Stegostoma tigrinum: one gene and its partners. The main gene of each other region encodes a partner of the protein of the gene in region 3 in a complex. Links are inferred from orthologs where the notes say so. Each region holds a gene or a part of one and is shown on either strand. Other genes may lie near its edges.

Evidence for each region.
Region 1: taf4a (region 3) and taf8 share a complex: the UniProt entries of both Homo sapiens proteins name them as parts of the TFIID basal transcription factor complex. The link is inferred for Stegostoma tigrinum from reciprocal best matches to the Homo sapiens genes TAF4 and TAF8.
Region 2: taf4a (region 3) and taf5 share a complex: the UniProt entries of both Homo sapiens proteins name them as parts of the TFIID basal transcription factor complex. The link is inferred for Stegostoma tigrinum from reciprocal best matches to the Homo sapiens genes TAF4 and TAF5.
Region 4: taf4a (region 3) and taf3 share a complex: the UniProt entries of both Homo sapiens proteins name them as parts of the TFIID basal transcription factor complex. The link is inferred for Stegostoma tigrinum from reciprocal best matches to the Homo sapiens genes TAF4 and TAF3.

The regions. Positions count from the first base shown.
Region 1 is NC_081374.1:14,876,053-14,882,890, forward strand, and holds the start of taf8 (transcription initiation factor TFIID subunit 8), read left to right. Parts: upstream 1-3,818; 5' UTR 3,819-3,881; exon of another isoform or gene 3,882-4,274; intron 4,275-6,448; 5' UTR 6,449-6,468; coding exon 6,469-6,546; intron 6,547-6,838. UniProt on the Homo sapiens protein: The TFIID basal transcription factor complex plays a major role in the initiation of RNA polymerase II (Pol II)-dependent transcription.
Region 2 is NC_081373.1:15,636,660-15,644,671, reverse strand, and holds the start of taf5 (transcription initiation factor TFIID subunit 5), read right to left. Parts: upstream 3,006-8,012; coding exon 2,140-3,005; intron 365-2,139; coding exon 49-364; intron 1-48. Other genes in the region: inactive pancreatic lipase-related protein 1-like, read left to right, coding at 3,901-4,090. UniProt on the Homo sapiens protein: The TFIID basal transcription factor complex plays a major role in the initiation of RNA polymerase II (Pol II)-dependent transcription.
Region 3 is NC_081372.1:17,927,111-17,934,039, forward strand, and holds the start of taf4a (transcription initiation factor TFIID subunit 4), read right to left. Parts: upstream 3,001-6,929; 5' UTR 2,994-3,000; coding exon 1,565-2,993; intron 1-1,564. UniProt on the Homo sapiens protein: The TFIID basal transcription factor complex plays a major role in the initiation of RNA polymerase II (Pol II)-dependent transcription.
Region 4 is NC_081378.1:7,658,583-7,665,901, reverse strand, and holds the start of taf3 (transcription initiation factor TFIID subunit 3), read right to left. Parts: upstream 3,011-7,319; 5' UTR 2,668-3,010; coding exon 2,502-2,667; intron 1-2,501. UniProt on the Homo sapiens protein: The TFIID basal transcription factor complex plays a major role in the initiation of RNA polymerase II (Pol II)-dependent transcription.

The DNA of each region.
Region 1 (6,838 bases), on a different chromosome or scaffold from region 3:
AACTTTAATGAGTACAATCCCAGGATCCTTAGCCATTCATCATACATTAAACCTACCATTCCAGGGATCATTCGTGTGAATCTCCGCTAGACACGCTCCAGGGCTAGTATGTCCTTCCTGACGTGTGGGGCCCAAAATTGGACACAGTATTCTAAATGGGGGCTAACTAGAGCTTTATAAAGCCTCAGAAGCACACCACTGCTTTTATATTCCAACCCTCTTGAGATAAACAACAACATTACATTCGCTTTCTTAATTACGTTCTTTACCTGCAAGTTAACCTTTAGAGAATCCTGGACCAACACTCTCAGATCCCTTTGCATTTCTGCTTTGTGAATTTTCTCACCATTTAGAAAATAGTCCATGCTGGCATTCTTTTTTCCAAAGTGCAAAACCTCACATTTACTCACATTGAATTTCATCAGCCATTTCATGGACCACTCTCCTAAACTGTCTAAATCTTTCTGCAGCTTCCCCACCTCCTCAGTACTACCTGACTGTCCACCTATCTTTGTATCATCACAATAGACAATCAAACTGTCACTGTCAGTTTTGTGTTCTCACTGAGACTGAATTTTGCAAAGACACAAAATAGTGCATATTCTACAGCAGTAATTCAGGGGTTTTGCAAAATAAATCTTCATCTCTGCTCAAAAATATCCTTAGGCAGTTATGATGTCCATAAATTTCCTGGCTCTGCTTTAAACAATAACTTTTGGTGGTAGGTGTCAGCCAAGGCTGAGAAATGACTTGTGGATGGATGTCCCACTCTAGTAGTTAAGCAGAAAAATCAAGACTGGTACTTTTCATACGGTCCCAGAGAGCTGCATTGTTGAAGGTCTTGGCTTTTTAATGAAACGTAGTGCAGTTGTGATCACTGTAGGATTCCCTGCCCTGGCTTTGAAACTATAGACTTGCTGCCTCCTCAGGTGGATGTAAAAATTTGGATGGCATTATTTCAAAGGGGTGTAGGGGCAGCACAGTGGCACCATTGTTAGCACTGCTGCCTCACAATGCCAGGGACCTGGGTTTGATTCCAGCCTTGGGTGGCTGTGTGGAGATCATATGTTCTCCCTGTGCCTGTGTGGGTTTCCACCAGGTCTCTCGTTTTCTCCCACTCTGCAAAGATGTGCAGTTTAGGTGGATTGACCATGCTAAATTGCCCTGTAATGTTCAGAGATGTGTAGACTAGGTGGATTAGACATGGTACATGTGAATTTATAGGTTAGGGCTTGGGTCTGAATGGGATTCTGTTCGGAGGGTCAATGTAGACTCAATAGGCCATCTGGCCTTTTTACCTAGTGTACAATTCTATGCCCCAATAACATTTCTTTCCCAATTTCCACAGATTAACAGATCATTACTACTTTGTTGTTTGTGGGAGCTTGCTTCACATAAATTAGCTGCTGTGTTTCCTACATCAGAACAATCATGACAAAAACAAGTAAGACTTGCATTTCAATATTGCCATTCATGGCCACCAGGTTCCTGAAAACTCATTATAGTAATGACATTCATTATCATTCTCTAAATACAATGAGGTAATTCACTCGTTCAAACTCTGTCCAATATTGACGGTGTATAAACAAAGTTCATACAACTTCTTACTGCAATTAAAGTAAAAAAAAGATAGTTTGTAATGCTAAATGAAACTAACCACACTGACATACTGACCTACTGATTATGCTACTTCACTCTCTTCATGCAGTGCATCAGTTTTTCTTGGACAATGTGCTGCTAATACCCTTTTTTAAAAATTAAAAACAAGGCTAACACAGAAAAACAAAGTTGTTAATAACTGTGGGAAACAAACTTAGAACACAAACTGAAGCCAGTCATCACTTTCCATATTAATGTATTTTGATTGTCAACTATGACCCAATTAGCAGCAACTCTGCATCAAAAGACTGTGCGTTAAACACCTATTCCGGAGTTTAAACACTAAAAACTAGGGTGACACTTCAGTGTAGTACTGAGAGAGTGCAGTGAAATGTCATCTTCTAGGTGAGATCTTAAACTGAGATCCTGTCTGCTCTTCAAATTTCCTGCATTACAACAGTGACTGCACTTCAAGAAGAGCTCATTCTCTGTGAAGAGCTTTGTAATTCAGAGCTTTGGCAAAGATCTGTAGCTCGGGTTGTGGGTGAGGTTGTTGGCTTGTCCACTGAGCTGGCTTGTTTTCATTCAAACATTTCATCACCATACTAGGTGACATTGTCAGTGGACCCTCCGATGAAGCAAAGCTATTCTATTCTGCTTGGAAGTTATATTGTTTGGTCCATTGTGGTGACTAGTGTCATTTCTGGTTTTGATCTGTATGTGTTTGTATATGGGGTACAATTCTATGTGTTTGTTGATTGCATTACATGTGGAGAACCATTCCTCCAGGAATTCCTGTGCATGTCTATGTTTGGCTTGGGCTACTATAGTTATCTTGTCCTGTAAAACTGATGGCCTTCATCGTCTGAATGTACTGATATTAAGGAGACTTCATTGTGCCATTTTGTTGCTAATTGCTGTTCATGTATCCTGATGGCTAGGTTACTTCCTGTCTGCCTGATGTAATGTTTGTGGCAGTCATTGCATGGTATTTTGTAAACCATGTCAGTTCTGCATGTCGTGGGAATGGGGTCTTTAATCCATGTGAGTGTTTGTCATAGAGTGGCTGTGGGCTCGTGGGCCACCATGGTTCCTAGTGGTCTCAGGAGTCTTATTGTCAGTTCTGATATGCTCTTGATATATGCAGTGTGGCCCTGTAAATGCTGCTGTCACCTGTGGTGCAGTTGGAAGCACTCTTGACTCTAAGTCAAAAGTGTCTGGGTTTAAGTCTTCGTCTAGGACTCAAGGGTCAAAATAAAAATTGCCACTCCTGAGGTGGTATGTGAAGTAGCTCCACAAAGGCTGGTATCCTGTCACCAAGTCAGCCTTTATTTACACATGCATAGTACATAACACTGACCCAGCTAGCTTAGAACTGTCTCCTAGAGTGAACAGAATCGCTGACACTCCTGTCAGCCAGGGCCCTCTGGTCAGACCAGGTTAACAGCCCCAGTCAGGGAACTCTTATTCTATAATGCCCACTTGGTTGATCTCATTCCAGCCACTACAATAAGAACTGTCGGAAGGTGTTATCTTACTGGTTAAATGTTGAGCTGATACCTGTGCCTTCCCATTCAAATTGCCTGGTGTCCTTTATTCCCTATGGGACTTATGAACAGAGGAAGGCCATTTGGCCCTTTGCATATATTCTGCCATTCAAACAAATTATGGCTAATCTGATATAACAAAGTGTGGAGCTGGATGAACACAGCAGGCCAAGCAGCATCTCAGGAGCACAAAAGCTGACGTTCTGGGCATAGATGATAAAGGACAGAAATGGTAAGTGTCTAGGCCCGAAATGTCAGTTTTTGTGCTCCTAAGATGCTGCTTGGCCTGCAGTGTTCATCCAGCTCCACACTTTGTTATCTCGGATTCTCCAGTATCTGCAGTTCCCATTATCTGTATGGCTAATCTGGTAATCCTCAACTCAATTTTCCTGCCTTGTGACCATAACCCCTGATGCCCTTAATGATAAGAAATCTATCTCCTTGAATATAATTGACAGCCCTCTGTGGCAAAGGATGCCACACATTCACAGCCCTCTGAGAGAGAGAACAAAAAAAAATTAAGGTAGGAACTACATTTCAAAAGCATTCCATGCGGCTGGGAGACGTTCGGTGAAGGATACATGTAGGTGTAAGGATGTGTTTCAGTTTAAGGCACCGATGCGAGCGATGTGTCAGGCTGGGAGCACCAGGCTGCAGTCCCCGCTCAGCCAGCGCAGGGGGCAGTACAGGCAGCGACGAGCAGGAGCGGAAGCGGGTCGGCGGAGCTGAGCTGAGGTGACGAGCTGCATCATTTTTCATCCCGATAGCGTGCGACTCTTTCGGATCTAAAATCTCCGGCCGCACTGAAAACAAGCGTAATTGTGAAGTCTGCTTGCGTTTAGGCACCGGATGGTTTTATTTTCCTGAAGCAAGGAAATCAAATCTTAATTTACTTTAAGCCGGTGTCCAGCCAGGAGTCTCTCGAGTGTACAGGCCTGAACCAGAAATAAATGTCCCAGTTTTATAAAGTTACATACAGCTTAACGCACTCATGAAATTTAAAATTTAGTAAGGAAGTAATTTATTCGTCGATGTCGGCTGCCTTTTTTTGAATGCAGCAAAATATTTTGCTTAAAAAAAGTCTTCCAAATGCGATTATTTACAGTTTAAATGTCTGAGGCACTAAAAGTGAGTATACGTTAGATAAATGCCTTTTAAAATTGCATGAATTAGAGTTTTTCTTGCTCCACGTAAATGTGAAATGGTTTATGATCAATGGCTGTAAATTCGATCTGTCTGCTAATTTAAAAGGAGAGCTTGTAATGCAGTGGGTGGTGTCCCTGCCTCTGAGCCAGAAGCTATTTGATGGCCAAGGAAGATGCATTCATAATGTAGCCAAACTGCAAAATCTGGTTCCACACAGTAGTGGAAGAGATTTCTGGGCAGCAGTAAGATGGAACAAAGAGTGAAGCCTTTACCCATCACAGTATGTAGCTTCAGAACACTATCTGCATGTAAAATAACATGTTTCCACACAACTTAGACTCCATTGAGTTGTAATAGAAGCCATCCTGCGAAGTGATGAATGGTTTCACTTCTTCTGTGCTGACTGTTTCAATCCTTGTTTTTCTGTAGCTTTTTTTAAAGGAAAGGTGAAAATGGCAGATTAACTAATAATATATTATATTAAGAGCATGAAAAAAGCATATTCAGTAGATAATGTGACAGTCAACACATATCCGATGTAACAAAATATTTTTCAAAACTTTAATTGTGGTGCGAAGGGAGAGCATTTCGGACAAGCGAATACAGCATTTCTGGATATCGAGAATGATAATGGATGAGGAAAAGTACTTGGAAAGAAAATCACCTACTTGAAGGGTTTACCTGATGCACTTGACTCTCAGCTAGCCCTATGTACTTGCATCACTGCCACAAAGTGGGATCCAGGAAGGATGTGGTTTTTCAGATCGTTAGTACCTTGCCACAGACATATCCACTGGATGTAAGGAGCATGTGGTTGGATTTTCAGGTGCATTGGGCATCAATTAGGCAATATTTTCACTGCCTCAACACTGGTATTGTAAAATGATTTTACAAGGTTAACTAGCTCAAAGCAAGTAACAATTTTCATATAGCCAATATATGCCGGTGCAGTGGCCCTGTAATTCAGCCTTAAAATAAAAGAAAAAAAAATCTCCTATCAGCACCATTCCGCTACCCTCCCTTGCCACTCCCCTCTTTATCTGCAGCTCCCTGTACCCCACATCCAGTCCTGAAGAAGGGTAATACCCAAAACGTTGACTTCCCTCCAGATACTGCCTGGCTTCCTGTGTTCTTTCAGCCTCCTGTTTGTCAGTGCTGTAATTAGGTTGTGTAATTAGTAGTTAAAAGTACAGAGAATCAATTCAATTTACTATACTGAAGTGCCATTCTATATTATATACTGAAGGTAGGCTTGAACAATAATCTGTCACCTGTAATTGAACAAACAACAATGTAACAAATCCTGATGGCAACTCAAGATGGGAAACAAATGCTGGCCTTACCAGCAGGCTCTATATTCCCATGAAATAGTAAAATAAGTGTTCTGAGTTTTAAGAGAGATGTTTTTTGTTTTCTTCGACCGCCCGTCATGCTTCTCATGGGTAGCTGGTAATTGTTTCAAATTATTGAATGCATAGAGGGCTAAATGCTAACAACAAGCCTACATAGTAGAATTAGGATCTTGGAACACCTTAATGTATTTCCATAATAATTTAATTCTTATTTTGTATGCAGCATCTCTGCTAGTGAACTTCGCACTCACCGGTTGATGACAAAGTACATGCTCCTTCATTGCTCTTATAATGGATGATAGCAATTTTTTCAATATTTAATTCTTTTTGAAGACTAGAGAAGGTGGAAGAACCTTGTTGCTAGGCAGATATGAAACCCATTTGGCATTTTAGTGGCTTTGTGGGAAGATTAATTTTTTTTCTGGTTTCTTTTGCTTTTTCTTGAGTTTGTGATTTCTTTATATTTTTGAAATATGTGGTGTCTTGCAGCTTTTCTCCATTTAAATGTTCAAAGACGTTGAGATGCATTCTGGTTTTTGCTGGTTTTTCATTTTGGGTGGGTGTGAATGATCCACTTAGCTCCCGTTTGTAAGAGTTTCTTTCATTCAAAGTATTGCTGCTGGCTGCATTGAGTGAAAAGACCAATATGTAATGTTCTTCTGTTCCTGTAGGCCTTGCTTTTACACGATGCAAACATGCTTTTGTCAATCTAAACTGATGTATTGCATATGTAAAAATGAAAGTTCAGGTGTTGTTTGAAATATCAGTTTATTGATTGTTAACATGAATATACCTTTGTTTCAGGCAACTATTAGATTGTGAAAATGACTACGGCTTCTGTCTCAGATACATATACGTCAGCTGACGCAACATGTAGAGTCTCAGTGGAAAATGTTACCCAGGTAATGTGGACAGATCAGAAGTTTCTTTGAATGTATGACTGTCTGTACAGGCAGTCCCTGGGTTAAGAATTGTTCCATTCCTGAGTATGATCGTGAGTCGATTTGTATGTAAGTGAGAACACAATGAGAAATAATATAAAATATCTATTTGTAAGCATAAGTGAATGTTTGCATGTCGGATCCTTAAATTTAATATTATGGAATCTCGCTCATAAGTACAAGCATTCTTAAGATGGACGTTCATAAATCAGGGACCACCTGTGTATACTCAAAAATTAGTAATTTATACATT
Region 2 (8,012 bases), on a different chromosome or scaffold from region 3:
TGTGCAATAGGGTCAACAGTGATTCTGCTGAGAGAGATTGTTCCTTACCTTGGTTTTATTTGCCTCCCTCTTTGCTTCTCCAGCCATTCCCCCAGAAGTCACCTCGATCTGCTGCTTGCTCCTCGGCATCCCATCAAATACATCAATGAACAGCTGCTCCTGCACAATGTTCCAGATCTGGTTATTATGCCTCTCCTGTAAGTGACGCTTCAGGCACTGGTACGAATCCCGTGAAATCCGTAACACAAACTTACTAGTCCGAAAATCGAGCACTGTCTCGTTCCCCTGCATGTGTTCCTTCTTTGACAGGCCAGCTAACACTCGCAGGTCATCATGGTAATAACCTTCCTGATCCCCATGATACCTGGAACCAACCAGAAGACAGGTTCAGACTCCAATAGATGTAACCTCCCATACTCTCACTGTGTGGATTCAGTAGACAGCTACAGATTGCAGAAAAAGTCAACAATATTTTCAAAGTAGCTCTCCAGGATAAACTCGCGCACCACTTCCTCATCCTCACCTTGATACATGCCAGTGGAGCACAACCCTGACCCAAGAACTTGAATTCCGTCAAACTCTTCATTTACCAGGGTTCCCCTGCACCTCCTTTCCAACTTTGGCCCATGATCAGGAATGGGGTACACCATCCACCAGCGGACTGCCCAGTTTAAAAAGCTTACAAGCACAGGAGTGCATCATAAAAGACTGACACTTCCAGGAGCTGTCATGCGCAAAGAGTAACATGCTCTCCTTCAATGGATGTAGCCCGAGTGTGTAAGCAGCATGAGCCTGTCACAACCGCTAACGTTACTTGTTCCAACAGCATTGTGGCCGAAACTGATGTTTGGGATGTAGGTGATAACAGTCCATCTTCAAGACAAAGAGGGGATGACTTCTCAGTATGACATGAGGGAGAGAGGGGGAACGTAATGGGATGCAAACATGCTGGAAATCAATGTGGAAATTATCATGTAAATTGGAGCAAGTGGTGAGAAAAAAAACAGAACTCCACAGTTGAAGTACAGGGACAGACCAGCTCATCTCCGAGTCTATTCCACTGCCATTCGAGATCATGGCTGATCTTCAACAAACCCCACACACCCACCTTTGCGCCTGCCACCCAGGTTTGATTCCACCCTCAGACCCAGGTTTGATTCCACCCTCAGACAACTGAGTATGGAGTTTGCACTCTCCCAGTGTCTGCATAGGTGTCCTCCTACAGTCTAACGATGTGCAGGTTAGGTGGATTGGCCATGCTAAATTGCCCACTGTATCTAGGTATATGCAGGCTAAGTGGATTAGCCATGGGAAATGCAGGGTTACAGGTACAGTTTCGGTTGCTAGGTCTAGCTGGGGCACTCTTTGGACAGTTGGTATAGACTCGAAAGGTCAAACAGCCTGCTTCTACACTGCAGGGATTCCATGATTCTACAATATCTTTCAATAGCAAAAATCTTACCAACCAAGATTTAACATAAACCAATCCAACACCAACTGAATTTGTGGAAGAGAACTCCAAACTGTTACGATACTACTTACAGATGCTCTCCTTCAGTTTCAAAGAAGGTTCACATCAGACTTCAAACACTACCTCCATTTCTCTCTCCACAGATACTGCCAGACTTGCTGAATCTCTCCAGAAATTTCTATTTTTACTTTACGTCCCCAGCAGTACACTGATTTTATCTTAATTCCAGTCCTGACAAGCTACACTTTTTAAAAAAACGACTGCCAAATACCAGACTCATTGGCGGACTTTGTATCCTAGATTCCCCATTCAGCAAAAAGTCTCCTTCTACTAACCCAGTCATTTCTCATAGCACGTCAAAAATTTAATTCTAGGAAGTACAACCGCAGATACTGTAACCTCTCTTATTTAACCCCAGGAACCCAGATATGATTCTGGTGAATCTACAATGCACTCTTCTACCCTGTCCGGTGCAATCAATGGTCCTCACTGTATTACGATAAACAGATCTGTTGGTAGTATCCTTATTACGACCTAACCAATGTTGAATTCAAGTTCAGTACAAATCAGAATCAGGAAAGGACAAGATATTAACGATATACAGATATTGTAATAGTTATGATATTCCAGACATTGATAATAAGTTTGTGGTATTGGAGGCCCCTCACTTGTGGAAGAAATGCCGAGCTTCCCTCTCATGCTCATTGTAAACCAGCTCCAGGTAAAGATGCACGAAGACCGGGTACAGGAGAGTGGACAGCTCGGCTTTAAAGGCGTCCAGCGCCGTCTCGATGAAGCCCTTGAGGCCAGTGTAATATTCCTCGTACAGGCTCGGGTCTCCCTCATTGCTGTAGGCCGAAAGCACCGAGCTGACATCGGGCTGATGAACCGAGTCCGAACCCCTGTGGCCGGCCGTCCTCAGCAGCGACTCGTCCAGGCTCTCCTGCAGGTTGGCCTCCTTCCTCAGGATCTCCTCTGCCTCTGTGAAGTGGTTCTTCTTCAGAAACTGCAGCACTGCCAGCAGCGTCTGCTTGTCGGGCAGCTCTGGTCCTGGACCTGGAGCCGGGCCTGCAGCAGTCGCGGGACACGGAGCTGTAGCTGGACCCGCGGCCAGGCCAGGCTTATGGTTTTCGGCCGGACTTTCACTCGGCTCCAGCTTGGGGATCAGGGTGGGAGAGGGAGTGGGGGATGGAGAAGGAGCGGGAGAAGGTGTCGGCACTGGGGCTGGGGAAGGGGAGGGAGCAGGGCCTGCGCCCGGAGTTGGGGCTGTGGCCGGAGGTGGGGTTGGGGCTGCGACTGGGGCTGGGGCTGGGGTTGGGGTTGGGGTTGGGGCTGGGACTGGGACTGTGGTCGGGGCCGGGACTGGGACTGGGACTGTGGTCGGGGCCGGAGCCGGGGTTGATGTCGGCGCTGGGACTGGGACTGCGGTTGCGGTTGGGACCGGGACCGGCGCCGGCGCCGGAGCCGGAGCCGGGCCCTCGGCCTCGGCCTCGGCCTCACTTTGCGCTGCCACCGGCTCTGACACCGCCGCCATTTTGACAGCGTCTGGGGCACTTCACGACACCGCCGCACTTTATAAAGATGGCGGCTCATTTTACGGCAGTTTGGGCAAGTCACCGCCCATGGCTGTTTACGACAATTTGGGCAAAGCGGAAATCCGCTTTACGGAAAGCTGGACTGGGCTGCCCCCTTGAAGATGTTGAAATTATAACATTTAGACCAAACAAAACCCTAAATCCTGTGACTCAGATTTCAGTAGCACTGAAAAACAAAACAGAGATGTGTTCAACAGTATAAGCCTTTATACTTTAAAAAAGTATACACTCTCACAGGTAAATAAAACTTGTTAAATCACAAAATAATCCTTATCCATAAATATGGGTCAAACTGATCAAAGTTGGGACCCAAACAAATCCTTAGTGTGGCTCTGGGGGCAAATGTTGCAGGATGTAAACAGTCAACAGCACAATACTGTTGCTCTGCTAGAATCGTCAACATGTTTTCCACTATGAGAAAAATTGGTCAGTTTAAATGTCAGAATTTTGTGGAAGAGAAAATGCAATGTAATTTACAAAAATTAAACTTTTTATCTCAAAGTTACTGCTGCTGCTTAGCGATAACTGATTTAAAACATCACTAAGGAATGAAAAACATGTTCATATTGTGATAACTGCAAAATGTTACTCATTACAATTAATTAGTATTAATTATTAACTCATTCACATAATATTGGAGCAAATTTTCCTGCCAATCTTTAACACAACCTTGAAGCCTAGCCAGTACTTTAACTTGATCGGACTATTCTGAACATTTCCACTTCAGTCACTTGTGGGACATAATTTTTTTGTCAATCCCTAGTTACCCTTGAGAAGCAGGTGGTGAGCTGTCTTTTTGAACAGCTGTATTCCATCTAGTGTAGACACTCCCATATGTCATGTGTGAGGGGGTTTCAGAATTTTGATCCAGCGACACTGAAGGATTGGCGATGTATTTCCGCACCAGGATGGTGTGTGCCTCAGAGAGGAACTTGCAGGTGGTGGTGTTCCCATATATCTGTTACCCTTGTCTTTACCGGCAGTAAAGGCCTCAAGATTGGAAAGTGCTATCAAAGGAGCTTTGGTGAGTTGGCGCAGGGCATCTTGTAGATTATACACACTGCTGGCATTGTGCATCAGTGGTGAAGGAAGTGAATGTTGAAGCTGGTGAATGGGGTGTTAGTCAGGAGGGCTGCTTTTTCCTGGATGATATCAAGGTTTTTGAGTGCTGTTGAAGTTGGACTGAACCAGGCAAGTGCAGAGTATTCCATTACACTCCTAATTTGTGCTTTGTAGATGATGGAAGGGTGTTGCAGAGACTGGAGGTGAGTAGCTCACCACAGAATTTTGAGCCTCAGAACTGCTATTGTAGCCACAGTATCTATATTGCTGGTCCAGTTCAATTTTTGGTCAACGGTAATTCCAGGATATTGATATTGGGGGATTCGGCGATAGATCTGCCATCGACTGTGAAGGGATGATGGTTAGAATCTCTCTTTTTGAAGATGGGAATTGTCTGGCACTTGTGTGGTGAGAATGTTGTTTGCTGTTTATTAAAAGAGATTGGATATTGTCAAGGTCTTGATGCTTAAGGACATGGACTGCCTCAGTGCCTGAGCTGTCGTGAATGGTGCAGAACAGTGCGCAATTATCAGAGAACATCACCACTTCTGACCGTATGATGGAGAGAAGGTCATTGATGAAGCAGAGGAAGATGGTTGGGCTCGTGCACTACCCTAAGGAATTTCTAAAAAGATGTCATAGAGCTGAGATGAATGACCTCTAACAGCCACAAACATCTTCATTTGTGTCAGGTTTGACTCCAATCAGCAGAGAGTTTTCTTCTTAACTCCAGTTTTACTATGGCTCCTTGATGCCGTACTTGGTCAGTTGCTACCTTGATGCCAAGGGCAGTCACTCCCACTAGTCATGGAGCACAGGTCTTCAGTACTATTGTCGGAGCATTGTCAGTGCCCATAGCCTCTACAGTATCTGGTGTCTTCAGTAATTTCTTGATATCATGTGGAGTGAATCAAATTGGCTGAAGACAAACGACTGCCGCCTCCATAATGTCACTCACCTACACCTTACATTCTTCTTGAGCACATAAATTTAAGTTGGAATGATAGAGAGGAGGTTAGTCTATCTTCTGGTGGAATCCTCTTCTATATTTTATCAAGACTAGATTCACTTAGTCCAGTGCTGTACTCACTTCCACACACAGTCTCACACACAGACACATGCACTCACATCGCTCATCACCCAACCCCCACCTCTTTTCCAAGATGAGGAAACTTTGGTTCATCTAAAACTCTGCTGCTGTACCTTGACTCACACTTAGTCAAAAAATAAGTGGGAAAGCAAGTGGTGAGGATGACACAAAGAGTCTGCGAAAGAAATGAGGGGGCAAAAGCTTGGCAAATGGAATATAATATGAGTTATGTCCTTTGGTAGGAAGAACAGAGGGGATGAATATTATTTATGTGTAGAACGACCGCAGAAAGCTACGGAACAGTGAGAATTTGGACCCGTCATCAATGAATCACAAAAAGCTAGCATCCAAGTTCAGTGGGTAACAAGGAAGGCAAATGAAATGTTGGCCTTTATTTTAAACAAGTCTTTTTACTAAAACTATACAAGGCACTAGTCAGACAACAACAGGAATACCATGAACTGTTTTGGATTCTTTATCTAAGGAGTACTATTCTGACTTTGGAGGCAGTTCATTAGGTTGATACCCAGATGTGGAGGGACTGCCTTATGAGGAAGAGTTGAGGTGGCTGGGCATATACGCAGTGAAATTTAGAAGAATTCAAGGTGACTTTCTTGAAACATACAAGATTCTTAGGGGATTTGACAGGGTATATGCAGAGAGGTTGTTTCCCTGTGTCGGGCCAGAGGGCATAATCTCAGAATAAGGGGGTCACACATTGAAAACAGAGATGAGAAGGAGTTTCTGCTGTTAGAGGATACTGAATCTGCAAAATTCTTTACCCCAAATGGTTGTGGAGGCTGGGTCATTAAGTGTATTTGAGGCCAAGATAGACAGATTTTTAATCAGTAAGGGAATCAAGAGTCAAAGGGAAAAAGCAGGAATATGGAATTCAAAATTAATTGATCAGCACTGATGATCTATTGAATGGTGGAGCAGACTCAGTGGGCTGAATGGCCTACTTCTTCTCCTATGTCATATGTCTTATTTACCCATCAGCCCCTCTGACCACTGACAACACCCTCCATACCCATTACCCAACGGTCCCCCATGCTCTCTGAGAACACCCTTGTCTTCACTGCTCAAAACCCCATGCCAAAAGATGACAGCTCTCACTGTCCAACCTCGAACATCCCATGCCCACTGCCCAATACACCCTATGTCCAGTGACCAATCCCATGTACTGTCCATGCCGCAAACTGGCCCTCCCTTACCCTCTTGTCCAATGCCCAGGATCAGTGCCCACTGATTCTTCATGATTTAAGATGCTTATCTTGTTTAGATTCTCTCATGGCCTAGCTCCATCAATCTCTATGTAACATTCTTGACCCCTGTGCTACCACCCACAAGCTCTGAATCCAGCCCCTTCCTGGCAAAGAGTCCTTGGACAACTGGATGGGTCGGACACTTGCCATGTTGCTGTTAATTTAAAAGCTGTCTCCCACCCTGGACCTTTTCTTGCCACTTTCTTGCTTGGTGAGGTGGCAAGGGTTCAAACTGGGGTTTGTATGAAACTGGACTCCTGACCTTGTGGCACTGCCAGTAAAGGCTTTGGGATATGTTCGTGGTGTTTGCCAGAATCCAGCTGTGCACTTCCCACACTTAAATTCGATGTTTTGAAATATTGAGAGCCCTAGGAGCATATATATAAGAGAGAGAACCCCGGTGAGCTCCAGACGGTGTACTTGTGTCATGGTCTTGGGGAAGGTGAGTCACTCTATTTACTGCTTAACTTCTTACCTGGAACAAATTTCACCTTACCTTATGATTCGAAAACAATTACTGGGAGCAGGGGAAGTACTCAAGGTTGATCATTAGAGTGGCACCAAAGGAAAATCTGGCAACACCTGTCCAATAACAAAAGAACCATCAAGGAGAAGAGAGAAAAAAACACAACAATAGTGACTTGGAGTGCACTGCCTGAAAAGGCAGTAGAAGCAGATTCAATTAAAACATATTTTCTGGGCAATGGCTGATCAGGAGACTGAATCTAATTTGATAAATCTGGGGCAGGCATGATGGACCAAATAACCTCATTCTGTGCTGTATCATTGTGAGATTCCTTCACTTTATGTGAAGGTGAGAGACAGCAAATTAAGAAATAGGGAGCAGGGAGATGCAAGCTTAGGTATTAACCCTTTCCATTGACATTTTCAAAAGTGCTTTGTAATTTTATGTTTCTAGGACGGAGTGTGAAAAATGCCCTGTGAGGGAGGTGAGGTAAGAGAGACATGAAAAGGGACAGAGCTGAGGAATGCAGGAAGTAACAAGACAGAGCAAGAGAGGAGTGAAGAGGGTGAGGAGAAGAGAGTAAGGCGTGGAGGAGATAATGGGAAGGAGAGATTGAGGATTGAGGGAGATAAAGAGGAGGAGTTTGTGAGGACTGAGGGAGGTGAGGAGGAGGAGTGAAAAGTGAGGGAGGTGAAGAAGGATATGACGAGCGAGTAGATGAGCAGGACGAGGCTGAGGAGAAAGGGAGGTGAGGAGAGAGAAAGATAAGGATGGAAGATATAAGGATTGGACAAAGTAAATAGTGAAAGAGTTAAGGAGTGTGGAAGGTAAGGTTAGAGAGCGTGTGGAGTTGGGAGTGTGAAGGACAAGGGTGAGTAGAAAGGCATGTGATGAGAGAGGGAGGAGAGTGAGGAAGTTGGGGAGAGAGGGACTGATCCAGGTTTAAGATCCTCAAGGTTTGGTAAGGTAAGGGGCCAGAAAGTAATCATGGCCAGGATTTTTGGAGATGCAGAGGAGAGTTGGTGGAACACATGAGGAGAAAAGAAGCCCTGAGGAGTTGCAG
Region 3 (6,929 bases):
ACTTTTTCATGCAGAGGGTGGGATGTGCATGGAACAAGCTGCCAAAGGAAGTGGAGGAGATGAGTACAATTACATTTAAAAAGGCATCTGAAAGTGTATATGAATAGGAAGTGTTTAGAGGGATATGGGCCAAATGCTGCAAATGGACAACGTCAGATTGGGATGTTTGACTGGCGTGGATGAGTTGGACCGAAGGGTCTGTTTTGCGCTATACGACACTGACTCTATAAGCGCAAGATGTACGGTGAAAGCAGTACTCACCTAAAGTTTTCTTTCCTTTTAAAGGTTATGTTCAGATGATACTTGTTCAACATAATTCATAATTTTAAACAAATTTCCCATGGGAATCTAAGCTTTACTACTGTAGCTGAAAATACTCCAGATGCAAGTCAAACTTTACAACTGCAAAATTTAAGCGATCAATCTAGCTCTTCTATTTGTTTAAACAATTATAGCAAAAAAGCTTCATCTGCTGCTCAGTGCACTTTTTTGAAGTCAGCGTGATGATAACCACGTCTGATTAACTTGGTATTGATTCCAGTTTGACAATGCAGTAGCAAATGCAGGAACTACAAGTGATAATTTTGTAGACATTAGTCATAATTCCACAATATTAGATCTTAAATCACCAATTAGTACCTCTTGGTCACAGGTGACAAAAGGGAAATTGTAATACCACATAAGCAAAAATAATTTAAATAATTATTTTAATAATCCTTATCAGCTCTATTCGGTGTTATAGTCCACTCATTTCAGAGCAAAACTTCAATATTAACATGCAATTCATCAGCTGAATCAGTTATCTGTCAGTAAGCACAGCAAGTATTTGTTACTTTTAATTGATTCTTAAAAAAGTCTTTGCAGTTTTGTTCAACTTCTGAAGGCTACGGAAAGTGCTGGTGAATATTTATATACTGGATTTAAAGTTTAATAGTTGTACATTGGCAGCAGTGTTTTGCACACCGAAAAATAAAACTAACTTTACCAACTGCTAAGATTACTTACTCACATAACAGAAATTCATCAACACAGCCACGATACTGCAGGAGGTAAATGCAAGTTTCCACTACATACAAGCTATACAAGCCCTATAATGATCAATGCTTTAACGTGAACAAAGAGCTGGATCTGCAAGTGATTTCACTCTGATCACCTGGAAATGAGTAGAATTACAACTGTAGACTGTAATGCCATTAACATTATATACACAAGGTTAATTGTTCAGTATGTTAAAATTAAATTAACTTCCACTGTGACACTATCCTTTTATATTCTGCTAGTCAGAAATGCTAATTTATGAAATTGTTAGGCTGTATTATAAATCATTTGGAAAATACAAACATTTTTTAAACTGCCTATAATTTTGCGTCACTGTAGTCTATGGAGACAGTTGACAGCCCATTGCACATTACGTTTTCCCACTTTGATTTAATTGCCTCTGACAAAACTATAAGTAAATATTCTAAAGACTAGCATTAAGCTGGAACAGAAAATAAGTAATTTTTCAAATTTCTTAATAGTACAAGAAAGCACAAGCCACTGACCAATATGATCTTATTCTCACCTGGGGGAATTTGAATATTTTGAATGTTTGGTTGATGCTGTTGGGGTTGAGGGAGACGGGGAGCTATAACTTGCGGTGTTATTGTTGTCCTTGGGCCAGTGTTCACTGCTGCTGTCCTTGCCATAGTTTGGGCAATTGTGTTAATGGTTCCTTTGCCCATTCCAACTGGCGTACCAACTGATTGAGTGGAAATTCCTCCAGGATTGGATGCCACATTCTGAAGTCCACTTTGTATCGTCTGACCTATTACCATAGTACTTGTGTTTGACTGATTGTTTAAAGTGGTCACCGCACTACCAGTTGTTGATGTCAATATTCCTGCACTGAGAGTCTGCTGTGGTGTCTGTATAATTGTTTTGGGCTGTAACTCAGATTTGATAACCTGTCCACCAGTGGACAAAGAAGCGTTGCTTGACAAACTAGAAGACTGACTGTTTAAAGTCAGAAGTGAAGTCTGATGTGGAGCTCCAGTGCCACTAGGTGCTGACAAGTTAGTTACACTAACTGTTGAGTTCAATATAGTACTACTACCATTTGGTGCTGATGCAACTGGCAGAACTGGGCCACTGTGCGCTGGTGGTCTCACCAATGTCACTGTGGGTCCTGCTGCCTGTGATGAAACAACAGTTGAAGGAACATTCTGTGTGCTGACAAAAGACGTCTGAATAACAGTGTAGACAGAACTAGAGACTGGCAAAGACACTGCTGGCAACCCTGTATTAACTGTGTTTTTTACAACAGATCCAGGTCCATTATTGACCACCGTAACAGCTGGCAAGGTAGTTGCAGCTGCTGAACAAGTAAAAGTGGTGGCATTTCCTGCATTGTGAGAGTTTATCGCCATTCCATTATTCCCATTAAGAGTTTGTACGTTGGAGGTGACAGTTTTCACATGGTTGGACACTGGGGTTGCCATTGCACTTATCACCACCGATTTTCCTTGACCGATGCTGCCTGAAGCTGATGTTTCCGACGATCCTGTCACTGCCGCTACTGCCGCTGTACTCTGCTCCTGTTCTACTCCTGGAGCCTGGGACCTTGCATTATTGATAACAACACTTTGCTGTGCCCCACTCCCCGCCGTCGTACAGGGCAAAACCCCACTGCCAAATGTGTTCTGCGAATTAATCTGTGCGTTTTTACCCTCAGAGCTCTCGTCCACTTTGATTTTGGCTGCGGTGGAAACCTCAGCTCCTGCCAGTCCCATTTTGTTCTCTGCTGTTTGCAGCTCAACATTATTGCTCACCATCCCGGGTGTGTTTTCCACGTGATTATTCACCACCTGCGCCCTTATTCCGGCCTGTTCCGCCGCGTTATGGCCCGTAGCCGCCAACTGGGACTCCAGGGAGCCGACTAAGTCGCTCACCACTTTCTCATCCACGTCTGAGAAGAACACATCGTCCAACAGATCTGAAGCCCCCGCCGCCATCTTAAGGCAGAACTCTTGTTTGACTCGGACCGCGCATGCGCACCGGGCCGTGTTGTTGGGGGTGACGTCAGAAGTGGGTCGGCAGCCGCCCTCCGTCATTGGTCAGCTCCCGGTTTAAAGCGCCGGCGAATGAAGGAACGCGTTATTGGGCTGTAGAATGACTGTGCCGAGCGGGCTGGAGAGGCGCCGCCGAGCAACCACACGAAGGCAAACGCTTTAATCCCGCTTGGTCCTGCCCGGGAGCCTGACATCTCTGACCGCCTTGATGGTTTCGGCGAGATTCGCGTCAAAAGCGACCGTTTTCCGCGACTTTTCTGATTTTATCTTTGTACATTATTGTGTGCAAGATGGCTCCCTGGCTTCAGATGCTAAAGGGCGCCACACCTGGTGGTGTGTGTGGAAACAGCAACTTGTCTCATCCTCTTTTTCAGAGGACATGTTAAACCTGCTTTAATTTTAATTCTACAGGGATCTGTCAGCGCACAACTGGACTAGGCGCTAGTTTGTTCTCCAATCGAATAACTTTTATTCGAAAGAATAAACGGATGGAGCTTTCGGTTGACTTTATCTCTCCTGTGATTAAAAAAGTTAACGTTTCGAGTTACGTGGCTAGCTTAGTTCTGAAGAGTCACTGGACTCGAACCATTAACTTTTCTCTTCACAGGTGCTGGCAGTCCTGAAGCTTTTTCCAGTAACCTCTTTCTTTGCTTCTTACGTAGTAAGAACTGCATATGCTGGAGTCAGGTAGCTGTGCAGCTGGAAGAACACAGAAGGCCAAGCATCATCAGAGTAGGAAAGCTGACGTTTCGGTTCGGGACCTTCCTTCAGAAAATCGGATCTTCGATATCCGTAGTTCTCTATTTCAGTTTTTTTTTGCTGCTTGGATGTTGTATAACTTGCTTTATCAGGATGTGGTCTCAGATTGGGTTATTGTTTTTGCTTTAAGTCTTTTCTGGCACATAATGTTCAAAACCACTTAGGAAAAAAGCTGTTTGAGCATTAGTTTGTTCTGTGTTCTGTACAACAAGCTTCAGTTTAAAATTATGCTACTTATTTTCAGTCTAAGATTAGAGCTCTCCCATATCTTTGGGAAGAAGTCTGCCGTTGGCTTGAAAGGTAAGCAGTCTTTATTTCTTTGGTGCTTGCTAGTATTTAGACTAAATATTGAATGTCTGAAGTCTAAAGGCAGTGTTCTGATTTAGAATGCTGTAGTATTGTTCAAAACTACACTAATGTAAAACTAGTTACTCTAAACATCTTTCAGCTGTCAAGTGAAAGCTGTCCTTGAATGGTTTTGTGATTATGCATAAAGCAATGGACTGTTCACATTTATGGGAAACTTAACTGTGGCATCTTAAAAGGAAAATGTTTCTGATAATATCACCTTGATTTTAGTAAATAAGGGAGACCAATTGATGAAGTAGACAGAAAAGCAAAACTTTTCTGACACCCCAGCTTATAGAACACTGGACTTTAAATAGAGTCACTTTAAAAAGGATATTGTAAATCAGTGAGAAGCTCATCAAGTCTCCATGAGCATGGGTCAGAACAGAACCTGGTCATTTGGCCCACGTTGTCTATGCTGACTAGTTCTCTAAACTAGTCCCTCATGCCTCAACATTTCCCATCAATGGACCTGTCCAAATGTCTCCAATTGTAACTGTACCTGCCTCTACAGCTCCTGACTACTCATTCATGTTGTGCCACTCTGGGGGGGAAAGTCACCACTCACCTTAAAGCTGTGCCCCCTCTAATATCTGACTACCCTGTCTGCAGGGGTGGGAAAGACTGCAACTATTCCTATCCATACCTGGCATGATTTTTAGCCCTGTAAGGTCTCACCGTAGTGTCTGACACTCCAGTGGGGGAAAGGGGAAACCAGCTCTTCTCTCTTCTTCCCCCCCCCCCCCCACCCTTACTCAAACCTCTGTTTTACTAGCATACTTCAAGTATGCAAAAAATCAGCTTCCTGGCATGCTTCCCATAGCAGGACAACCAGAATTGGGTGCAATGCTGCAGATGTAATGTGTTGTACAGATGCAACATGACATCCCCCCCCCAAACTCTTGTACTGTATGCTGTGACTGAGGGTGAGCATGCCAGACTGTCTTCAGGACTTTGTGCTGCCACTTTGAAAGAACTGTACTCCTGTACCTGCAGGTCTCCTTTGTCAGATCTCCCCAGGATACTACCATTAAGTCTCTGTGGCTTAGCTTGCCAAAATGCAACACCTGTTTGTCTGAATTAAACTATCTGCTATTCCTTGGCCAACTAGTTTGTTGATCAAGGTCCTGTTGTACTGAGGTAACCACCTTCATTGCATGATCACAGAAATCTGTGATCTGCAAACTTGATCATGCCTCCTGTTCACTTCAATCATTCCTATAAATCAGAACCAGTAGACCCAGCAGTAATCCTTCCAGAACACCAGTAGTCACAGGCCTCTAAACAACCCTGTACCACCACCGTCTCCCATCAAATGACTTTGTATCCAATTGGCTCTTTCCCTGGGTCCTATGTGATCAAATGTTACTAACCAATCTACCAGGCAGAATCTTGCCAATGTAGACAGCAAAAAACTTGCTGCATTTGCCTATCTTGGTCATGTCTTCACTACAAGCTCAAGCAAATTTGAATGCTCCCAGCACAGCCATGCTGTTTATCTTCCTCTAATCAGTCATTTCCTTTCCAAATGCATAGATCCTGTCCCTCAATCCCCTTCAGCTCACCTGTCTAGTTCCCTGGCTTTTGCAGCCTTTGCTAAAAAAGCACAACACTAGCCACCTTCTGTCTTCCAGGACCTTGCCCATATTTGTCAATGATACAAAGCTCTCTGCTCTGCAATGCCCTTGGGTCCATTTGATCTGGTCCTGGGGCTTAACCACCTTGATGCACTATACCTTTACCTCGTGTGAGCTAAACTTTAAAGACACCATGAATTTGTGTACCCTAGCTTCCATGTTCTCCAGTGTAAACAAAAAACTGACTAAATCAGTTTAGGATCACATCCAGCTTTTGCAAATCCATGCTGAATGGTTTCCTTATCTTCAAGGGGCCCTAGTATCTTCCTACATACAAATTTTGTAGAATTTCTCTTGAATCCAAAGAACCTCATCAATGATCACCCATTTCTGCCTATATAGCATCACTGGACAATAATTAAGAGTGCCCCAATTTAAACCCCCCCTTCTATCCTCCCTACAGCATCTACACCCAAAATTGAGCTGCTAGCTTTCTCCCTCAGGCTGTTGTCCCAAACTAAGTTTCTAATGAAAGAATAGGTTACTTGTCTTGGTCTCTTTCTAACCCTGTGTAGAAACTGAAGATGTTGGTATGGTTTTAAATGGGTGTCTTCTCGAGGGACTATGCTGATAAGTGAGTGATTAATACTCACTAAATGTGAGGATCAGCACCACTGTTTACAGCCTGTCTGTAGTTTAGAGCCTGATGAAATTTTACCCTAGGCTGTTAAAGTTTCAAAGTTGAGCACTGACTGCATGAGTCCACTAAGTGATCCAGCAGATTGGAGCTCTGCCTCTCTTGGAAAAGCAGAGGGCTGACTGCTGACCAGTCAGCAGCACATTGGTGGAAATAAACTTTTATTGGTGTTGAGATTGCAAACTGACAGTTCAAAGGTGTGGATTAATAGCGATCAAGGAAAGACAGCACTGAGGGTGTTGTAGTTTGTGCTTGTCTGCATGCTTTTTAGCAAAGCTTTAACTTGATGTAACCTAACTCCAAGGGGATGTAGTTAACTTAGTATCTAACTTGCTGAGGAACAGGAACCAAAGCTTGAGTTTTTAATATGGAAGGCTGTTTCCAGTGCAGTTGCAGGATTCAGTACCTCTAACAATTTGGCTGCTATGAGGATAGCTATAAACTGCATGGAGACATAAATGACTGGGTGGATAGAAGTAACAAATGGAATTTGACCCT
Region 4 (7,319 bases), on a different chromosome or scaffold from region 3:
GGGCCAGGATCAAGGAGGTCACTGAATGGCTGGATGGAATCTGAAGGGAGAAGGTGACAGTCAGAAGTTGAAGTTTATATAGATACGAACGACAGGTAAAAAGAGGGATGAAGTTCTACAACAACAATCTAGGTAGCTACGTTATAGATTGACAAACAGGTCCTTAATGGTTGCAACCGCTGGATTACATCTGGTTCCACGTGTTAGTGAGCATAGGAATAGGCAGATCTCACCGTTAAATGGGTGGCTAAAAGAATTGGTGCAAGTCTAGAATCTTTAGATTCCGCGATGAGTGGGTCTATTTCCAGGGAAGGTGGGACCTGTACTAGTCCAATGGCTTCCACCGGACCCAGAAACTGGACCGATATCTGTGTGGTGTGGTGGGTAGGTGAATGAGTGGCTGGGGATTGTAAATTGCCCAGTGGGTGATATACAGTCAAATACAAAGGAAAAATCCAGTCTGTAAGACACACACACATATATAGTAAAGTTAAGGCACAAAGGAGCACAAGGCTGGATGGCATTTATTTTAATGCAATGAATTTTGCAAATAAGGCAGGTGAGGTGAGGATGATTGATTAATATATAGAAATATGCTCTCGTTCTTAACACTGAGGTATGGTTGTGAGGGGGGCAGGACAGACAGCTCAATATTCTGGAGTATAGAATCGTCAGGCTAGTTGAGAGCATAAGAGTAGTCATAACACTAATCAAGGAGTCAATTACTTGTCATTACTGTAATAAGGAGGGATGATATCTTAGAAGGTTCCTCAAATAAGACCACATGGGCAGAACTTAAAGAAGGGAAATCACATTTCTGGGAGTGTACTATACACCCTCAAACAGTAAAGGACTACCAAAAGAATACATATATCGGCTAAATCTCAAGAAGTGTAAAATAATAGGGCACAGTAAAAGGCAATTTCAAGCTTTCCTATATTACCTGCGATAGACAAAGTGTGAAAGGCTTAGAGGGAACAGAATTCTTAAAATGTACCAGGATATTTTTTAAAAGCGGGCAGTTCTCAACTTAATTTTAGGGAGAATATCCAAGCACGTGTGAGTAGCAGAGCACTTTGGTGATAGTGACCATACCTCAGTGAAATTTAAGGTTGTTGTGAAAAATGATAAAGATGGCCCAGAAGTAAAAGTTATGAACTGAGGGAAGGCTGACTTTAACATAAGACAGGATCTGACCAAATAGGAACAAAAAACAAAGTTGCTGGAAAAGCTCAGCAGGTCTGGTGGCATCTGTGGAGGAGAAAAGCGTTAAAATTTTAGGTCTGGTGACCCTTCTTCAGAACCCTTCTGACCAAATAGGACTGGCAGCAACTACTTCTAGGCTAGTCTACATTTCAACAGTAGGAGTCATTCAAAAGTGAAATAATGAAAGTAAAAGTACAAACAATTCAAGGCCATCTTGGATATCAAGCAATGTACACTATTGGTCAAGGAAATAAAGGAAGCTTTTGGCAGGTACTAAGTGCTCAAAACAGTGGAAGCTTACTGCTTATTTTGTACTCCATCATTTAAACTCCACTTCACTTAAATGGCAATGCCGAAGACAAAAAAATTAAGTTAGTATTAATCAATGTTTACTTTACAGGGATGTTCAGCTGCTAACACTAAAAAATAACATATTTTTTAAAAAACTGCAGATGCTCTAAATCAGAAACAAAAACAAAGCTGCTGGAAAAGCTCAGCAGGTCTGGCAACATCTGTAGGAAAAAAAAAGTTAACGTTGTGGGTCCAGTGACTCTTCCTCAGAACGGTTCTAAGGGTCACTGGACCCGAAATGTTAACTCTGTTTTCTCCTCCACAGATGCTGCCAGAGCTGCCGAGCTTTTCCTGATAATAACGTGCTCAGTCAGATTGGAGGTATCAGCTGAAATCTCAAAATCCATGAAGCTTGTCAATTGTAAACAACAAGCGCTACAAACAGGAACATCCAGGCTTGGTGAAAATGTTAGAAAGAGAGACTGAAACAGGCCACTTGGCCCTTCGAGCCAACTCCATTATTCAGGATGATCTGGGCTGATTTCCTTTCTGGCCTGTGTCCTCCCACACTATCCCAATATCCCGTAATACTCGAAAGATCCATTAATGTCAGCCTTCAATTGACAGAGCATCCCTGGCTGTGTGGGAGGGGGAAGAGAATTCCAAAGATTCTCAAACCTTTCCCGGTGAACCCTCCTCCAGACCCTAAGACACAGCCGATATTTGGGGCTGCAGGGAATCTGAAGGGGGAGGGCGAACAACCAGAGGGCGTGGGGAAAAGTCATCTCAGCACCCAACCTGTCAAGGTACCCCTTTGGGAACAATATGTTTTCGCCTGGACCGCCTCTCCATCTTCTGAAGTCCAGGGAGCTAGAGGCCTACAAGTGTAGAACGCGGGCTGGCTGTTCAGAGACAGGCTGTTTGGGTGAAGACTGTGTGTGCTGTAATGAGTGAGGTTGTGTCTGTGCCCGATGGATGGAGATCACAGGGTCTCAGGTACTCACACAGCTCGCTGTAACGATGGCAGCCCCGGGTCAGCTGCTCGATGTACCTGTTGAGCACGTCGGTGAGGATGTCGCAGGCCGTGACCTGCACCGAGTCCCATCCCAGAGCCTGGCAGATCTGAGCCACCGCCACCCGCAGCAAGGCCCTGCCGTAAGCGTCGCACATCCCGGCCTCAAAATACTGTTAAAATAAAACAGCTAATACCCAACCGGCCCCCCCCCCCACCAACTCTGTCCTTCAAGCGCGGCGGGTCGGCATGGCCTTATTCTGGGACTCCGTCTCTCTCTCTCTCTCCCTCCCTCCCTCCTTCATATCACCACCATCACTCCCCGGCCCAGCCAACTGACAGCACTGCTCCCGGAGCCGCCGCCGCCGCCGCTCGGCCCCTCACTCCCGAGCCGCCATGTTGTGCCCCCGACGCCCGCCGGCTCCTTGGACTCTCGGACACGACCCATCGAACGCCGGCAGCTCGAACGATCGAGGCAGCCGCATCGGCTCGTCAGGCCTGTCACTGTGGTTGCCCGGGCGACGGCGATTTAGAATAAATTGCCATCACCGCGCAGGGGCGGGGAAAGGAAGCGGTTTGCGGGGAAGAGGGGGAGATGGGCGGCCGGGGGGGGGGGGGGGGGGGGAGATGGGCGGCCGGGGGGGGGGGGGGGGGGGGGGGAGATGGGCGGCCGGGGGGGGGGGGGGGGGGGGGGGGAGATGGGCGGCCGGGGGGGGGGGGGGGGGGGGAGATGGGCGGCCGGGGGGGGGGGGGGGGGGGGGAGATGGGCGGCCGGGGGGGGGGGGGCGGGAAGAGGGGGAGATGGGCGGCGGGGGGGGCGGGAAGAGGGGGAGAGGGGGGGGGGGGGCGGGAAGAGGGGGAGAGGGGGGGGGGGGGCGGGAAGAGGGGGAGAGGGGGGGGGGGGCGGGCGGGCGGGCGGGCGGGCGGGCGGGCGGGGGCGGGGCGGGAAGAGGGGGAGATGGGGGGGCGGGGGGGGGGGGGGCGGGAAGAGGGGGAGATGGGCGGCCGGGGGGGGGGGGGGGGCGGGAAGAGGGGGAGATGGGCGGGCGGGGGGGGGCGGGGGGGGGGGGCGGGAAGAGGGGGAGATGGGCGGCCGGGGGGGGGCGGGGGGCGGGAAGAGGGGGAGATGGGCGGCCGGGGGGGGGGGGCGGGGGGGGCGGGGGGCGGGAAGAGGGGGAGATGGGCGGGCGGGCGGGGGGGGGGGCGGGAAGAGGGGGAGATGGGCGGGCGGGCGGGGGGGGGCGGGAAGAGGGGGCGGGGGGCGGGAAGAGGGGGAGATGGGCGGCCGGGGGGGGGGCGGGGGGGCGGGGGGGGGGGGGCGGGAAGAGGGGGAGATGGGGGGGCGGGGGGGGGGGGGGGCGGGAAGAGGGGGAGATGGGCGGCCGGGGGGGGGGGGCGGGGAGAGGGGGAGATGGGCGGCCGGGGGGGGGGGGCGGGGAGATGGGCGGCCGGGGGGGGGGGGGCGGGGAGATGGGCGGCCGGGGGGGGGGGGCGGGAAGAGGGGGAGATGGGCGGCCGGGGGGGGGGGCGGGAAGAGGGGGAGATGGGCGGCCGGGGGGGGGGCGGGGAGATGGGGGGGCGGGGAGATGGGCGGCCGGGGGGGGGGGGCGGGAAGAGGGGGAGATGGGCGGCCGGGGGGGGGGGGGGGGCGGGAAGAGGGGGAGATGGGCGGCCGGGGGGGGGGGGCGGGAAGAGGGGGAGATGGGCGGGCGGGAAGAGGGGGAGATGGGCGGCCGGGGGGGGGGGGGAGATGGGCGGCCGGGGGGGGGCGGGGGGGAGATGGGCGGCCGGGGGGGGCGGGGAGATGGGCGGCCGGGGGGGGGCGGGAAGAGGGGGAGATGGGCGGCCGGGGGGGGGCGGGAAGAGGGGGAGATGGGCGGCCGGGGTGGGGGTGGGGGGAGATGGGCCGCCGGGGTGGGGGGAGATGGGCCGCCGGGGTGGGGGTGGGGGGAGATGGGCCGCCGGGGTGGGGGTGGGGGTGGGGGGAGATGGGCCGCCGGGGTGGGGGTGGGGGTGGGGGGAGATGGGCCGCCGGGGTGGGGGTGGGGGGAGATGGGCCGCCGGGGTGGGGGTGGGGGGAGATGGGTGGCGGGTGGCGGCGGGGGTGGGGGTGGGGGAAGATGGGCGGCGGGGGTGGGGGGAGATGGGCGGAGGGGGTGGGGGGAGATGGGGGGCGGGGGTGGGGGGAGATGGGGGGCGGGGGTGGGGGGAGATGGGCGGCGGGGGTGGCGGCGGGGGTGGGGGGAGATGGGCGGCGGGGGTGGGGGGAGATGGGCGGCGGGGGCGGGGGTGGGGGGAGGTGGCGGCGGGGGAGGGGGGGGATGGGCGGCGGGGGTGGGGGGGGATGGGCGGCGGGGGTGGGGGAGATGGGCGGCGGGGGCGGGGGTGGGGGGAGATGGGCGGCGGGGGAGGGGGGGGATGGGCGGCGGGGGTGGGGGGGGATGGGCGGCGGGGGTGGGGGGAGATGGGCGGCGGGGGCGGGGGTGGGGGGAGATGGGCGGCGCGGGTGGGGGGAGATGGGCGGCGGGGCGGGGGGAGATGGGCGGCGGGGCGGGGGGAGATGGGCGGCGGGGCGGGGGGAGATGGGCGGCGGGGGCGGGGGTGGGGGGAGGTGGCGGCGGGGAGGGGGGGGGATGGGCGGCGGGGGTGGGGGGGGATGGGCGGCGGGGGTGGGGGGAGATGGGCGGCGGGGGCGGGGGTGGGGGGAGATGGGCGGCGGGGGAGGGGGGGGATGGGCGGCGGGGGTGGGGGGGGATGGGCGGCGGGGGTGGGGGGAGATGGGCGGCGGGGGCGGGGGTGGGGGGAGATGGGCGGCGCGGGTGGGGGGAGATGGGCGGCGGGGCGGGGGGAGATGGGCGGCGGGGCGGGGGGAGATGGGCGGCGGGGCGGGGGGAGATGGGCGGCGGGGGCGGGGGGAGATGGGCGGCGGGGGCGGGGGGAGATGGGGGGCGGGGGTGGGGGGAGATGGGGGGCGGGGGCGGGGGCGGGGGGAGATGGGGGGCGGGGGCGGGGGGAGATGGGGGACGGGGGCGGGGGGAGATGGGCGGGGGCGGGGGGAGATGGGGGACGGGGGCGGGGGGAGATGGGCGGCGGCGGGGGGAGATGGGCGGCGGGGGGGGCGGGGGGAGATGGGCGGCGGGGGGGGTGGGGGGAGATGGGCGGGGGGGGCGGTGGGAGATGGGCGGGGGGGGCGGTGGGAGATGGGCGGGGGGCGGCGGGGGGAGATGGGCGGCGGGGGCGGGGGGAGATGGGCGGCGGGGGCGGGGGTGGGGGGAGATGGGCGGCGGGGGTGGGGGGTGATGGGGGGCGGGGGCGGGGGCGGGGGTGGGGGGTGATGGGGGGTGGGGGCGGGGGAGGGGGGAGATGGGGGGCGGGGGTGGGGGGAGATGGGGGGCGGGGGTGGGGGGAGATGGGGGGCGGGGGCGGGGAGATGGGCGGCCGGGGGGGGGGGCGGGAAGAGGGGGAGATGGGCGGCCGGGGGGGGGGGGCGGGAAGAGGGGGAGATGGGCGGCCGGGGGGGGGGGGCGGGGAGATGGGCGGCCGGGGGGGGGGGCGGGAAGAGGGGGAGATGGGCGGCCGGGGGGGGGGGGGCGGGAAGAGGGGGAGATGGGCGGCCGGGGGGGGGGGCGGGGAGATGGGGGGGCGGGGAGATGGGCGGCCGGGGGGGGGGGGCGGGAAGAGGGGGAGATGGGCGGCCGGGGGGGGGGGGGGGCGGGAAGAGGGGGAGATGGGCGGCCGGGGGGGGGGGGCGGGAAGAGGGGGAGATGGGCGGGCGGGAAGAGGGGGAGATGGGCGGCCGGGGGGGGGGGGGAGATGGGCGGCCGGGGGGGGGCGGGGGGGGAGATGGGCGGCCGGGGGGGGGGGGGGAGATGGGCGGCCGGGGGGGGGCGGGAAGAGGGGGAGATGGGCGGCCGGGGGGGGGGCGGGAAGAGGGGGAGATGGGCGGCCGGGGTGGGGGTGGGGGGAGATGGGCCGCCGGGGTGGGGGGAGATGGGCCGCCGGGGTGGGGGTGGGGGGAGATGGGCCGCCGGGGTGGGGGTGGGGGTGGGGGGAGATGGGCCGCCGGGGTGGGGGTGGGGGTGGGGGGAGATGGGCCGCCGGGGTGGGGGTGGGGGTGGGGGGAGATGGGCCGCCGGGGTGGGGGTGGGGGGAGATGGGCCGCCGGGGTGGGGGTGGGGGGAGATGGGTGGCGGGTGGCGGCGGGGGTGGGGGTGGGGGAAGATGGGCGGCGGGGGTGGGGGGAGATGGGCGGAGGGGGTGGGGGGAGATGGGGGGCGGGGGTGGGGGGAGATGGGGGGCGGGGGTGGGGGGAGATGGGCGGCGGGGGTGGCGGCGGGGGTGGGGGGAGATGGGCGGCGGGGGTGGGGGGAGATGGGCGGCGGGGGCGGGGGTGGGGGGAGGTGGCGGCGGGGGAGGGGGGGGATGGGCGGCGGGGGTGGGGGGGGATGGGCGGCGGGGGTGGGGGGAGATGGGCGGCGGGGGCGGGGGTGGGGGGAGATGGGCGGCGGGGGAGGGGGGGGATGGGCGGCGGGGGTGGGGGGGGATGGGCGGCGGGGGTGGGGGGAGATGGGCGGCGGGGGCGGGGGTGGGGGGAGATGGGCGGCGCGGGTGGGGGGAGATGGGCGGCGGGGCGGGGGGAGATGGGCGGCGGGGCGGGGGGAGATGGGCGGCGGGGCGGGGGGAGATGGGCGGCGGGGGCGGGGGCGGGGGGAGATGGGCGGCGGGGGCGGGGGGAGATGGGCGGCGGGGGCGGGGGCGGGGGGAGATGGGCGGCGGGGGCGGGGGGAGATGGGGGGCGGGGGTGGGGGGA